Linked DNA regions of Rattus norvegicus. The protein of the gene in region 3 interacts with the protein of the main gene of each other region in a pairwise test. Links are inferred from orthologs where the notes say so. Each region holds a gene or a part of one and is shown on either strand. Other genes may lie near its edges. The genes, in order: Insr, Ntrk1 and Sh2b1.

Region 1 (3,522 bases), on a different chromosome or scaffold from region 3:
GATACCCACATTGAAGCCTGGCACCCACGCCCACCCACGTAGGCATGACTCACCACATGTCGGAAGAAGCAGTGAAGACTCCGTCCTTCAGGGACTCGGGTGACATCCACCTCACGGGCAGCAACCCCTTGCCCCCTTTCCGATAGTAATCTGTCTCGTAGATGTCTCTCGTCATTCCAAAGTCTGACAACAAACAGTTCACAGGCTTTTCAGGTCATCCTCCTAGCATCTTGAGTGCTCCACCCCTCCAAGCACCACTAGAGGTCCTGTAGGTGGCAGGCGAATTCGCCAAGAGGGGATTCTTGAGGTGTGTGGGAGGGTGTGGACGGAGAACAGGGGCTGTCATCCTTCCCACCTACTCCTTTCCCAGTGTCCCAAATAGACCTTTTTCCTTTCCCAGACAATCTGCTGCTCCCTCGACTACACTTGGGGTCTCCTTTTGACCTTGTCTCTTGCTGACACTCCCAGTGGGCAAGCCAGCCTCTCTGCCTCTGCGTCTCTCTCTAACCCATCTCATTTCTCATTTCCCTTTGCAAAGTCTTGGCTCACCTCCATGCCTTCCCTGTACATCCTCCGACCTGGGTCATCCTCCTACACAAGGGCAGCTATGTGAACAGAATCACACTCCTTCCAGTTCTCATTGGTTTTGCTTCTTTCTTTCTTGAGACGAGCTCTCACATTTGCCAGGGTAACTTTGGACTTGCTACATAGCTGAGGATGACGTTGAGTTTTTTATCTTCCTGCCTCTACCTCCCCAAGTGTCCAGATACACGCACCACCACCCTTGGGTTTAGAAGGGGGGGTGGTCGTTGTTAATGTAGAAGGTCTTTAGGATCATAAATATAGAATGATGTCCCATCTTCCTGCATATAGGTTGATGTCTTTGGGTGTATTCCTGTATGACTCCCATTGTTATGTAGAAAAATATTTCCTGGAATCATATATAGGTTCTTCTCTCTAATGTGTGTGTGTGGGGGGGGTTGGGATCTTTATGGGACCTTGCCTGGTTGCAATTCTCACTGAGAGGCAGGCTTACAAAACTCGTACATGCCTGCTTCTTGGCCTTCAGCTTAACCGCACGGCTCACTGTCCTTGGGTCCCTCTATACCTGTCTTACCCACACATTCCAACCAGCATTCTAGACACTTAGCCTCTGCTTCTGTTTGTTGCCTCTTTCTTCTGCATTCTCTGACTCAACCTTTGGTCTTGCCAGAACCTCTACTAAATTTCATAGTAAATTTGAACTGTCATCTGAGCACAGGCTAGCATCAGACAGAAAAGCCTCCACTAAAGAATTACCTATGTTGGACTGACCTTTGGGCATGTTGATGGGGAATGTCTTGATTGCTAATTGATATAGGAGGGCTAGGCTCACTGTGGGCATCACCATTCCCTTGGAAGAGACTGCTGGGCTATACATGAAAAGCTAGCAAAATATGAACCAGAGCAAATCAGGAGGCAGCATTCTTCCATGGTTTCTACTTTAAGTTCTTTCCCTGGCTTCTCTCAGTAATAGACTACAAGGTGAAATAAATCCCTTCCTCCCCGAGTGGTTTTATTTATTTATTTATTTATTTATTTATTTATTTACTCACTTATTTTTGATAGAAACAAAAAGGAAACTAGAATAGAAATCTTAGCTTTCTGGGCTGGGAAAACACCCAGAGTGGGTAAAAGTATTTTTCAGGCAGCAAAAGGACCTGAATTTAGGACCCCAGAATCTACCATGTGACCTATACCCTATAATACATAATACACACACAGTCTCTCAGTCTCTCAGTCTCTCAGTCTCTCAGTCTCTCTCTCTCTCTCTCTCTCACACACACACACACATACACACAGTCTTTCAGTCTCTCTCTCTTTCTCTCACACACACACACTCACACACACAGTCTCTCAGTCTCTCTCACACACACAGTCTCTCAGTCTCTCTCTCTCTCTCACACACACACACAGTCTCACTCACACACACACATACACACATACACACACACAGTCTCTCAGTCTCTCTCTCACACACACACATACACACATACACAGACACACAGTCTCTCAGTCTCTCTCTCTCTCTTTCACACACACACACACACACACACACACACACAGATTTGAAGACACACCTCCGATTTTGACAGTAAAATCATGGGCAACCATGCAGTTCCGAGCTGCCAGGTCCCGGTGCACAAACTTCTTGGCGTTCAAGTATGCCATGCCATCGGCAATTTCTGCTGTCATCTGAATCATTTCTTGCAAGGTAGGGGGAGGACGGCCTGGGTTGTTCTAAAGTCAAAACATGGGTTGCAGTTAGCACTCTGATTCCAACTAAATCATCTCTTACAGGGTGTGTGTCGGGGGCTTGGGGGTGTAGCCAGGGTCATTCTAAAGTCAAACATGGGTTAGCGTTTATCGTATACTTAGATCGGGGGCCTGCTAAGGGGCCTGGAGGCAGCTTACCTCAGCATCGGGCCGCAGAGAACGGAGGTGACTTTTCAGGTCTCCATGAGCCATCAGTTCCATCACTACCAATGTGGGCTGGCCTTTGGACACCACCCCAAGAAGGCGGACCTACAGAACAAGCATGGAGGTGACTTGACAAGGGTCCAGGTTTTATAGTAAGTGACAATGAACTCTCTGTCTGATGCCTATAGCACACAGGCCACCCTGTTTGGATGAAGCATGGCCAGCCCTAGTCTAAGGGAACAAACAGACCCACTCGTATAGAGAACATTCCAAGCAAAGCTCACTGGCCTAGTGTGCCTCAGTATATAAACCATGTTCCTACCTCCAGACCTTTACAGTTCCCGCTCTCCGTAGCCTGTTCCCTCCCTCCCACGCACATGTGCTTCCGTCTCACACCCTTTAAGACTTTGCTCAATGGGGTGGGGATTTAGCTCAGTGGCAGAGCGCTTGCCTAGCAAGTGCAAGGCCCTGGGTTCGGTCTCCAGCTCCGAAAAAAAGAAAAAGAAAAAAAAAAAGGCTTTGCTCAAATATACTACAATCCTCTTCCCCTCACTTTAATTTCTCCCAGCATGCCGTACCGTTTGGGAACTGTCTTCCCTGAAATAGAATGTCTGAGAGGGAGGTCAAGAATCTGCTTCAATGTCAGCAAGAGCAAGGCATTTAGGTGCTGATAGCTAGCAAATTCTAATGAATTGAAGGAATTGAGGGAAGCTTCTTAAGACTGAGAAAGTAAAGAGGCTTACACTGTCCAGGAAGTAAATAATTCATACATCTAAGAAAGTTCTTAAAATTAATAAGATTCACAAGACCACCAACAACAACCTTTCTAGGATTAAATTAGTAGTAAAAGCTTTAGATAGAATAGATTCTACCATCTCGCAAGCTGCCTTTAAGTTGTGCAGAGAGCACGGATATTCCAGATTTCATGAGCCAACACTCGGACGAGGATGGGGTTTTTGGTGATTAGGTACCTATGCACACCATCCACACTCGTGTAGGTGAACCCATACTCTTACAAGGAATTGAAATAACCTCACTGGCTCACCAACAGAGTTTTAATGT
Region 2 (4,152 bases), on a different chromosome or scaffold from region 3:
AGCTGGGCTCCCTGGCTTGATATGTGTGTGTGTGTGTGTGTGTGTGTGTGTGTGTGTGTGTGTGTGTGTGTGTGTGGTTCTGGGGTCCAACAGGTGCTTTGACATCTGCAGGGTAACTTCCTGCAGCCTGGACAGGTCAGACTCCGCTGGTGAAACCTGAAAATCTCAGTGCTTCACCTCTCACAGCCCTTCCCAGCCTCCTGAGGCTACTTTGGACATAATTTCTTGGGCCGGGGGTATGTCTCCGTCAAGTCTCTTGGTTTTGGCTCAAATCTCTAGGAGGCGAGTCGTCTCTGTGAGATTCCTCCTTCGTTTGGTTATTTTTAAGAACTCAGGATGCTTGGTGGGTCTCTGTATGTGTATTTGTTCAGAGGCACTTGGGGGACAGTTCATGCTGGGATGGTATCTCTTAAACGTGACACGTATGCTTGCAGTCAAGAAGGCCATTGCGCAAGACTCGCCTTTTGGTGGCCTGGATGCTGGGTCTGAGACTTCTCAGGTTCACAAATACCAAGAACGGTTCCCAGCTCACACGTCCGAAGAACTAAGAGATCTATTAATTTCTCCGCACAGAAATCGATGCTCTTGTCAGGACGGCGATCGATGCCAGGCTTGGTCTGCCTGGCCAAACCCCGGCTCTGGGGCCGCAGCTGGCTGGCTAGGATTGGGAACTGACCCCAAGACCAGAGAGGCACAGTCAAGCAAGGCTCCGAACAGCTTTCCCCGGCCCTCGCCCTCGGAGCCCCAGGCCAATCGCAACGCCCCGGCGCGAGGGCTTCTAGCGCCACCCTGTGGGCTCTTGAGGACCGAGAGGTCTCCACTTTCCAATCTCCCTCCAGCTGTGTTCAAAGGACTCTTCTTTACCCCTGTTTTCCTCCCCAGATTCTGCGTCCAGCCTCAGCGAGGCCTCTCCCTTTCCTTACTAGGGTCTGGAGAGCGTACATCTAACTTATTCCAAGTGACGTGAACACTCTCTTAGGTAAAGTGCACGGTGAGGCTGGCTGGGCTGACCCGGACTTCAACCTTTTTCTTGCTCAATCTCTCCTGGTCCCCGCAAATCTGAAAATGCAGCTGTTTTACTGTGAGAAATAGGGTATCGGCTTCCTAGCTCCCCCAGCCTCAGAAGACACATGTGAAGCAATCTGTGGCAGTCCCCCGCCCCAGGTCTCCTGCAGCCGTGAGGGACATGAGGAAGGCGAGCTGGCAATAGGGCCCCGAAAGGGGAGGGGGCACTGGGGGCATCGGCAGGCGGGGCGGGGCGGGGCCGTGGGTGCCGCCCTCTCCTGGTGGCTAGTCTTTAACACCGCCCCGCGCACGTGTCGCGCGAGGCCGGGCGGCGGCAGCCAGGAGCGCACGGACGGCCGCGCGGCCCGAGCTAGGCGGGCGCCGCCGCGATGCTGCGAGGCCAGCGGCACGGGCAGCTGGGTTGGCATCGCCCGGCCGCGGGGCTAGGCGGTCTGGTGACTTCGTTGATGCTGGCTTGTGCTTGCGCCGCATCCTGTCGTGAGACCTGCTGTCCCGTGGGCCCCTCGGGGTTGCGCTGCACCAGGGCAGGGACCCTGAATACCCTCCGCGGCCTGCGGGGCGCCGGGAACCTGACGGAGCTGTGAGTGTGTGTGTCGGGGGGGAGGGGCGCGGGGTCAGGAGAGCAGAGCCCTTCCCCGAGGGCGCGCACTCACCTCTGGCTTGAGGGGCCAGGCTTGGCTGCTGTAGGAGACGGGCACGTGTAGCCTTTGGCTGTGCTGGGGCGGCTTCTGCCGCTGCCACCACCCTGGCAAAGCCGCGCAGTCACTGTCTGGATGTCGCCCAGGATTAAGGGTAGCTAACTGTGGTGCTGGTTTGGGGCAGAGCAAGACTGAAACTCGGTGGATCAGGTTTTGGTCTAGCGATCTAGGATAAGAACCTTTTTGTGGGGTTCAATCAAGAGCCCAAGTCCCTAAGTCCATGAAGGAGTGGTCAGCTGTGCAGAATTTGGCAGTGTGGCGGCACCTTTGCTATCTACTCTTTCTTAGGGGGGAACCAGCCCCCAACCTCTTCCTTGCCATGCGGGGGCGGGGGAGGGGGATCCAGCTCTTCTCTGGATTTGCGATTGAGCTGGAGTTGGTGGGAGATGGTGAGGAACCAGCTTGGTGTCTGAACTCCTTTCCTCTCCACTGACCACAAGACTTCTTGATTTGGATGCGAGGAAAAGAAACCCCTTTGCCTCTCTCTCTGCTCGCCCATCTCTCCTTTCACCTTGTCTCCCTACTTGCGTCAGGCAGGCCGTTGCATAGAGATTCTCCTTTTTTCCAGGTCCAGAGCTGGGAGGAGGAACCTTCAGCTCTGCAGTACTTTGACAATGTGCAATAATCGGTTACAACATACTCAAGTATTTTGTAGCAGCTAGTGAAACCTTTGAGAGTATAATTGACCTGAAGGGACCCCCACATCACACAGTGATGGCTGGAAAATACTTGAGTATTCTGCTTGCTGGGCAGCTAGCAGCCTGCAGCTGATTGGCACCGAGTTACTCCGGCATCTTGTGGTAATTAACGGAGGTACTCAATCTCTCTCTAATGGCCCTAGGGAGACCAAGAACAGAGGAGATGGCCTTGTCTTGGCCTGGGTCTAGGCTCCTGCAGGTTGGGATGGGGCATGAAGTCTAGATGGTTGCTCCCAGGCCTGTCCATTCAAACCAGCGTCCAGCCTCCTGACTGTTTCCATCAAGGCTCTCATTCCCCCAGAGCCTTTCAAGACTCCAAGGGAGTCCAGCCCAGGGACAGGAGTAGTGGGCAAGCCTGGGCTATAGAGGAAGAGGTTGGCAGAGTGGTGAATTGAGTTGTCCCCCCTGGGTGGGGCCTGATGCTCCCAACTCCTCCTGCACAGACTTCTCCCCCCTCCCTCACCCGCATAGCTAACAAGGAGCTAATGGACTCGAATAGACAGACAGATTATGAATCTGAACAAATGAGGCGGCATGAAGCACACTGCCTGACAGCTCGCACATACCCAGCTCTACAGATCCTCTCAGCAACTCCCTGGGTCTCTGTAGCTCGAAACCCTTGGGGGCAGAACAGGGATCTGGACTCCCTCAGTAGTGGGCTAGCAACAACTCCTTAGGCCTCCAGGGGGAGGGCAGACACAGACCCATCCTATGGGGGACAAGGCTGGGATGGGAGAAGGACAGGGTCCCTTGGCCTGACCTGCTCCTTGCTGCTCTTTTTAACTAAGGGGAAGCTCCTAAACAAGGGGAAGAGTTCTGAGAACGGTTAGTGAGTCGGGGGGCCCCTAGCACACATGGGGATGGAGAGGAGAGAGGAGGACATATCATTACAGGGCGTGAGTTCACAGGAACTCTTAGATGCCAGATCTACAAGATGGGACTGCGCCCACAGCACCCCGCCCCCGAGTGCCGCTTGCTCTCGCTCCGTCTCTCCGTCTGTTTTGCTTTCTTGCCTCCCTGGTTCTCATTCTCCCTACTCCTAAGTCCTTATCTCTGTCTTGGGGTCTCCCTCTCCTTATCTGTCTCTTTCCTGCCCGCCCCAGCCCACTGTCTTCTTGCTGTCAATCTCTTCTGAGTTTTTCCACTCTTTGTTTATCTGCCCTCCCTCTGCCACCCACCTCCTCCAGCCTTCCGTGTCTCGCACTGTGAGATCTCCATCTCTCTTCACCCACTCACTCAGACTCCATCCCCTTCCCAATCCTCTCTCCCTTCCTGGGTCCCTCACAATTAAGGAGGGGCTGGGGTGGGGGGCAACAGCTCTATGCTCCTTGCTTGCTTTGGGAAAGTGCTGGAGAGGAGAGAGTAGGGGTTGCTGTGGGGAAGAACCAAAGGTATAAGGGGACCATGAGTGTGTGTGTGTGTGTGTGTGTGTGTGTGTGTGTGTGTGTGTGATTGGTGTCAATGAACCCAGATGGTGTCCACAGGGCACGTATGTTTGGGAGCACACAGTAGTATGACAATTGGGGCATCCTTAGCACTGGGTGGAGCAAGCGCCTCCGAGAGCCTTGTCTCTTGTGGAAGTGAGTCTTAGCACAGTCCCCTGTCATTGAGCATATATATGCTGGAGAAGTCTGCTAGAAAAATGGAGCCCAAGCTGAGAATGGCAGTGGGCACTGGCTAACATGTCTTCACACCTTATCTGTGTATGCACGGGAGACTCTATGTGAGCT
Region 3 (4,322 bases):
CACCTCTCTAGCCACTGTCACTTCCAGCTACCCACCTACCCACCTTCCTGTGGGCTCACCTTGGGTGGTACAAAGAACTCCAAGCGACTTCCTCCTCCTCCTTCTCCTTCACTCCGGAGCAGTAATCGACATTTCTGCCACTGAGGCTGCCCTCCTCCTCCCGAGGTCAGCCCAGCTGCCCCTCCTCCACGACCTACTCCTGCTGGGTCAGGGGCAGCCTCTTCAGCCCCCATGAAACTCAGCAGCTCTTCTCTCTGTATCACTCCTGCTCCGTCTCTCAAGGTTCCCCCTCCACGACTTAGCCTTAGCCTCTCAAAGCGATGAGTCCATCTCTCCCCAGGGGATGTGCCATCGTTGGCCAATGCCCTACCAACTGTCCCAGCACCACCAGAGGAGTTGGAGTTGCTGTTTCCACCTAGAACTGGAGGACCTGATGTGGTCTCCAGAGGCCCAGCTTGGGAGGGAGATTCAACAGCCCCCCGCCACTGCAGGATGCCTCGGACAGAACCTCTGACTGAACGACCCACCGAGCGGAGGGAGAAGCGTTTCTTGAGCTTCGGCTTTGAGGACGTTGTAGAGGAAGAGACTGAGGAAGGAAGGGGGCCAGCCAGGTCCTCAGAAGATCGAGAAGGGCCCAACACTGCCAGGGGCCCACCCACCCTGCAGCTCTCAAGGGACAGGTCATGTGATGGTGGGATTTCCACACCAGGGCTCAATGGAGCCAAGACAGGTGGGGAGAGTGAGCCCGAGGCCCGAGCCACCTCAGCTTCGAAGTGCTGCAGGAAGAGCTCAGCAAAACGGCCAGAAAAGGCAGCCTCTGCTCCCGGCTCTGCATATTGTGGGTGGGAGGCCAGATAGAGGCGAAAACGGCGAGCAAGATCCAGGGCAGCAGCCCTCGCATGGGACTCACAGAACTCTTGCCAACTTGGGGGAGGGGGTGGTGGCAGCGCTGGTGGAGAAGGGAAAACCCCATCCTCTGGGGAAGGGGCACCATTCATGATGTGCCCCAGGAGGAGGACAGGGGGAGCCTGCAGGGAGCAAATAGGAAAGCAGCCAGAAGACTCGAGGTGAGCGCCAACAGCTGTAGAAAGAAGAGGCATAGACACTGAGTTACGGCAGAAGTGAGATTGAGTTATGTCCTGGCCCAAACCAGGGACTCCCCTCCAGACTCCTCAGAGGGCAATGGGGGAAGAGAATTAAACTGTTTTGCCCTCTTCAAGATCAACAGCCCACATATACCCCAGGGACGAGGGATGCTAACTAAGCCCAACGTCCATCCTGCATCCTTTGCCACCACTCCCCCTGCTGTGGGATCCAGGAAAGGGTCTTGAAGCATCTAACACCACAGAGGACTCTTACAGATCTGCAGCGTCCCTTCTCTAAGACAAAGTCTTCCCTAACCATCACACTTTAAATAGGACATTCCAGAGGGTTCCACAAGGTCATTTTACCTTTCCTTAGAAAGCTTAATAACCTCTTACAGATGAGGAAACAGAGATTCAAACAAGTTCCAGAACTCAGAGTCTACTGCATTTCCCACTGCATAGTTCTAGTCTCTAGAGACATGCTAGACCAGCCTCAACCACAGCTCCTACTGCTCTGTTCTCAGGGGGCCAAAGGGTGCAGGGATTACAAAGTTTAGAGACCTGGCATCATAGGTCCAATAAGTGGAAGATGGATCGAAGGATCAGCTGTCTGCGAAGCTGATCTGACAACCCAGCACTTAAGCCCCGTGTGGAGACTCTGATTGGCTGATGGCCAATCTCTCTGGGTTGCCCCCTGTAGTCTAGGGCTGACTGAAAGCAGCGCTAGAGAAAAGGAGACGGTATGTTGGGCCAGGACAAGTCTCTACTAGCCACGTAAGTAAGACATCACAAGGAGCCGGGACTCAAGATTTTTCTCTCCCTGGGGGGTGTGCCTGTGAGACCGGGACTAAAGCCCCAGCTCAGCCCACCTGTTAGCTATGTGAACCCAGCTTTTGTATCTGTGGAGCACAGCTCATAACGTCTACCTGTTACACTTGTCAGGAGAAATTAAATGGCAATGAACATGTCTGTGCTTGACACAAAATAAGCACACAAGACATCACTGCCACCCTCACTATTTTTATGGGTCCCATTTACTCTAAGAGAAACTCAAGAAAGGAAGAGCTTCTGAGGGTGTCCCAACTCTTAAGTCACAACAAAAGGACAGAGCTCGGTGTGTAATTTACAACCAGTGGCTCTTTGAGGAGTGGTCCTGCCCTATGATATATTGAAAGAAGACACCTCTGGACAGTTCAGGAAAGTCTACCCAAACTATTAGTGATGTCTGCCTCTTCACCAAATCTACAACCAGATTGAAAGTCAGAGACCCCTCCCCTTCCTCCTTGGCCTCAGTCCTACATACTCGGATGGCTCCAACCACAGGGACAACTCCAAACCATGGAGAAGCAGCCAGGAGATGCGGGAGTCACAGAGCACAGGGGAACAGGGCCAAGAGGTGCAGGCACAGCAGAGACAGTTCCCAGCTAGAGGCAACCTCGGCTCACACAGGCCCACCCAGCCCTCAGCACTACTGGCCGACCCAGCCCCCTTCAAGCCCGCTGACCCTGCGGTTCCTGGACTGGTGACTCAGTTTCTCTTCTGCCAAGAAGGCTCAGTCACAATTTTCCGGTGCACCTGCCTCTTGGCTTAGTTCTGACATTCCAGAAGGGCGGGTGGTGGAGGGTGCAGGCTGCGCTCCAGGTTCGGACCCTCCGGGCCCCGTGGTCAATCACTCGGACCCGATCCTAATCGTTGGACACCCTCCACATGCCCCTGGGCCGGAGCCTCCGAGGGACTAACTATCTGCTACCCTCTCGGGAGCCAAGCACCCCTCCAACCCCGATCCCCCACGCCCACCCCCGCCCAAGCTTCTCAGACGACAGGGTCGAGTCCGGAGAGGAAAGAGGCACTTGAAGAGGGGGATTCCGGTTCCGGTCCCACCTGCATCTCGGTCCCCGCGCTTAGCTCCGGCGGTGGCAGCGGCGGCGGCGGCGACGGCCGCAGCTCCCGCTCCCTGTGCCCCCCGCCTCCGCGACGAGCTCCCAGCACGCGCTTCTGCGCAGGCGCTAGGACGGGTTCCCCGACGCGGAAGGAAACGACCATAGAGAAGAGCAGTAGGGAGGGCACCTTCGTACTCACTTCCGCCATCGTTCTCAGCGCCGAGCTTTCAGGACCTAGGCCAACGAAGATCTCACTGAGCTTCCTGTGGCTTCTGCAGTTGTACCTAAAAGGAACCACTGAGGCAGCTAAGGGAAGGCGTTGGGTCCCAGCCGAGCGTCATCCGAAGCAAATTCGAGACAAAGGCGAGAAGTTAACCATAGAGAAGCCACATGAGCGGAGAGAGTAGCCGCCCACTAAGAGAAATCAGCGAGATGATAAAGCTCTTTGAAGAGCTGGCTGCAGCCTAGAGCGCCTGGCCCTGCATCGAGGGGTACACGGACACCGCCCCCAGGGAGCTGGCGAGTGATGTAGCGGTGACCTTGGGAGGCCGAGTGAGCGGGCGGAGCCTGAACTTACGACCTTGGGTTTTTCAGAGGAAAGGGCCAAGGTGGTCCTGGAGGGCTCCACCTTAGACGGAAACTAATGTTGGGGCAGCAATAGTAAGGTTAGTTTTGAGCATGTTTAAGGGGCATCAGAAGGTACGTGGACATAGAGCTTGGAATTCAAGAGAGGCTTCAGGGCAAGTTAGAGGGATGAAGAACTGAATGTACAAAAAGTGCTGCTGAGACCTTGCACACAAATATCCTCTAGCAATCCAGGCTCGCATCGATCCAGCTTCACTACAACTTAAATAATTGAAAAGGCCAGAGTAGATTGGTATCGTTGGCAGGAGCCAAAAGATACCACCTGTCTGCACTTCGTCATCTGTGATTGTACTCTGCTCTGCGGTTGCCTTCACCCACAGAGGGGCTCTAGTCTCTTGGTGCGGCAAGAAGGTTTCCCATAGATTCAAATTTAAGGCCTAATGGTTTAGAAAATCAGTTTAAGGAGTATCCCTTTTTCTGAGAGCTTCAACAGAATTCCCAGAACTAGCCTAGTGAGATGCCTCTTGAGTAAAAGTGCATGTGTTTGCTGTGCAAGCCTGATCACCAGACATCACTCCCCGGAACCCACTGTGGAAAGAGAAGGATGTTGGAAAGTTGTCTTCTTACTTCCAACATGGCACACACACTTGTGACACACACACCGCTCACATGTATACAAAATGGTAATAAAATTTAAATAAGTTACACATCTGGAAAGAAAACTAAGTGATTAAGAGCCCTGGCAGCTCTTGCAGAGGACCAGGTTCAACTC

Evidence for each region.
Region 1: the proteins of Sh2b1 (region 3) and Insr interact in binary tests that used the Homo sapiens proteins (3 or more experiments, as listed by UniProt). The link is inferred for Rattus norvegicus from reciprocal best matches to the Homo sapiens genes SH2B1 and INSR.
Region 2: the proteins of Sh2b1 (region 3) and Ntrk1 interact in a two-hybrid assay, tested with the Homo sapiens proteins (2 studies listed by BioGRID). The link is inferred for Rattus norvegicus from reciprocal best matches to the Homo sapiens genes SH2B1 and NTRK1.

What each region holds. Positions count from the first base shown.
Region 1 is NC_086030.1:5,999,793-6,003,314, forward strand, and holds part of Insr (insulin receptor preproprotein), read right to left. Parts: intron 2,566-3,522; coding exon 2,455-2,565; intron 2,281-2,454; coding exon 2,121-2,280; intron 184-2,120; coding exon 54-183; intron 1-53. UniProt on the Homo sapiens protein: Receptor tyrosine kinase which mediates the pleiotropic actions of insulin.
Region 2 is NC_086020.1:175,548,831-175,552,982, reverse strand, and holds the start of Ntrk1 (high affinity nerve growth factor receptor precursor), read left to right. Parts: upstream 1-1,333; 5' UTR 1,334-1,394; coding exon 1,395-1,606; intron 1,607-1,687; exon of another isoform or gene 1,688-4,152. UniProt on the Homo sapiens protein: Receptor tyrosine kinase involved in the development and the maturation of the central and peripheral nervous systems through regulation of proliferation, differentiation and survival of sympathetic and nervous neurons.
Region 3 is NC_086019.1:190,484,326-190,488,647, forward strand, and holds the start of Sh2b1 (SH2B adapter protein 1), read right to left. Parts: upstream 2,807-4,322; 5' UTR 2,590-2,806; intron 1,082-2,589; 5' UTR 999-1,081; coding exon 60-998; intron 1-59. UniProt on the Homo sapiens protein: Adapter protein for several members of the tyrosine kinase receptor family.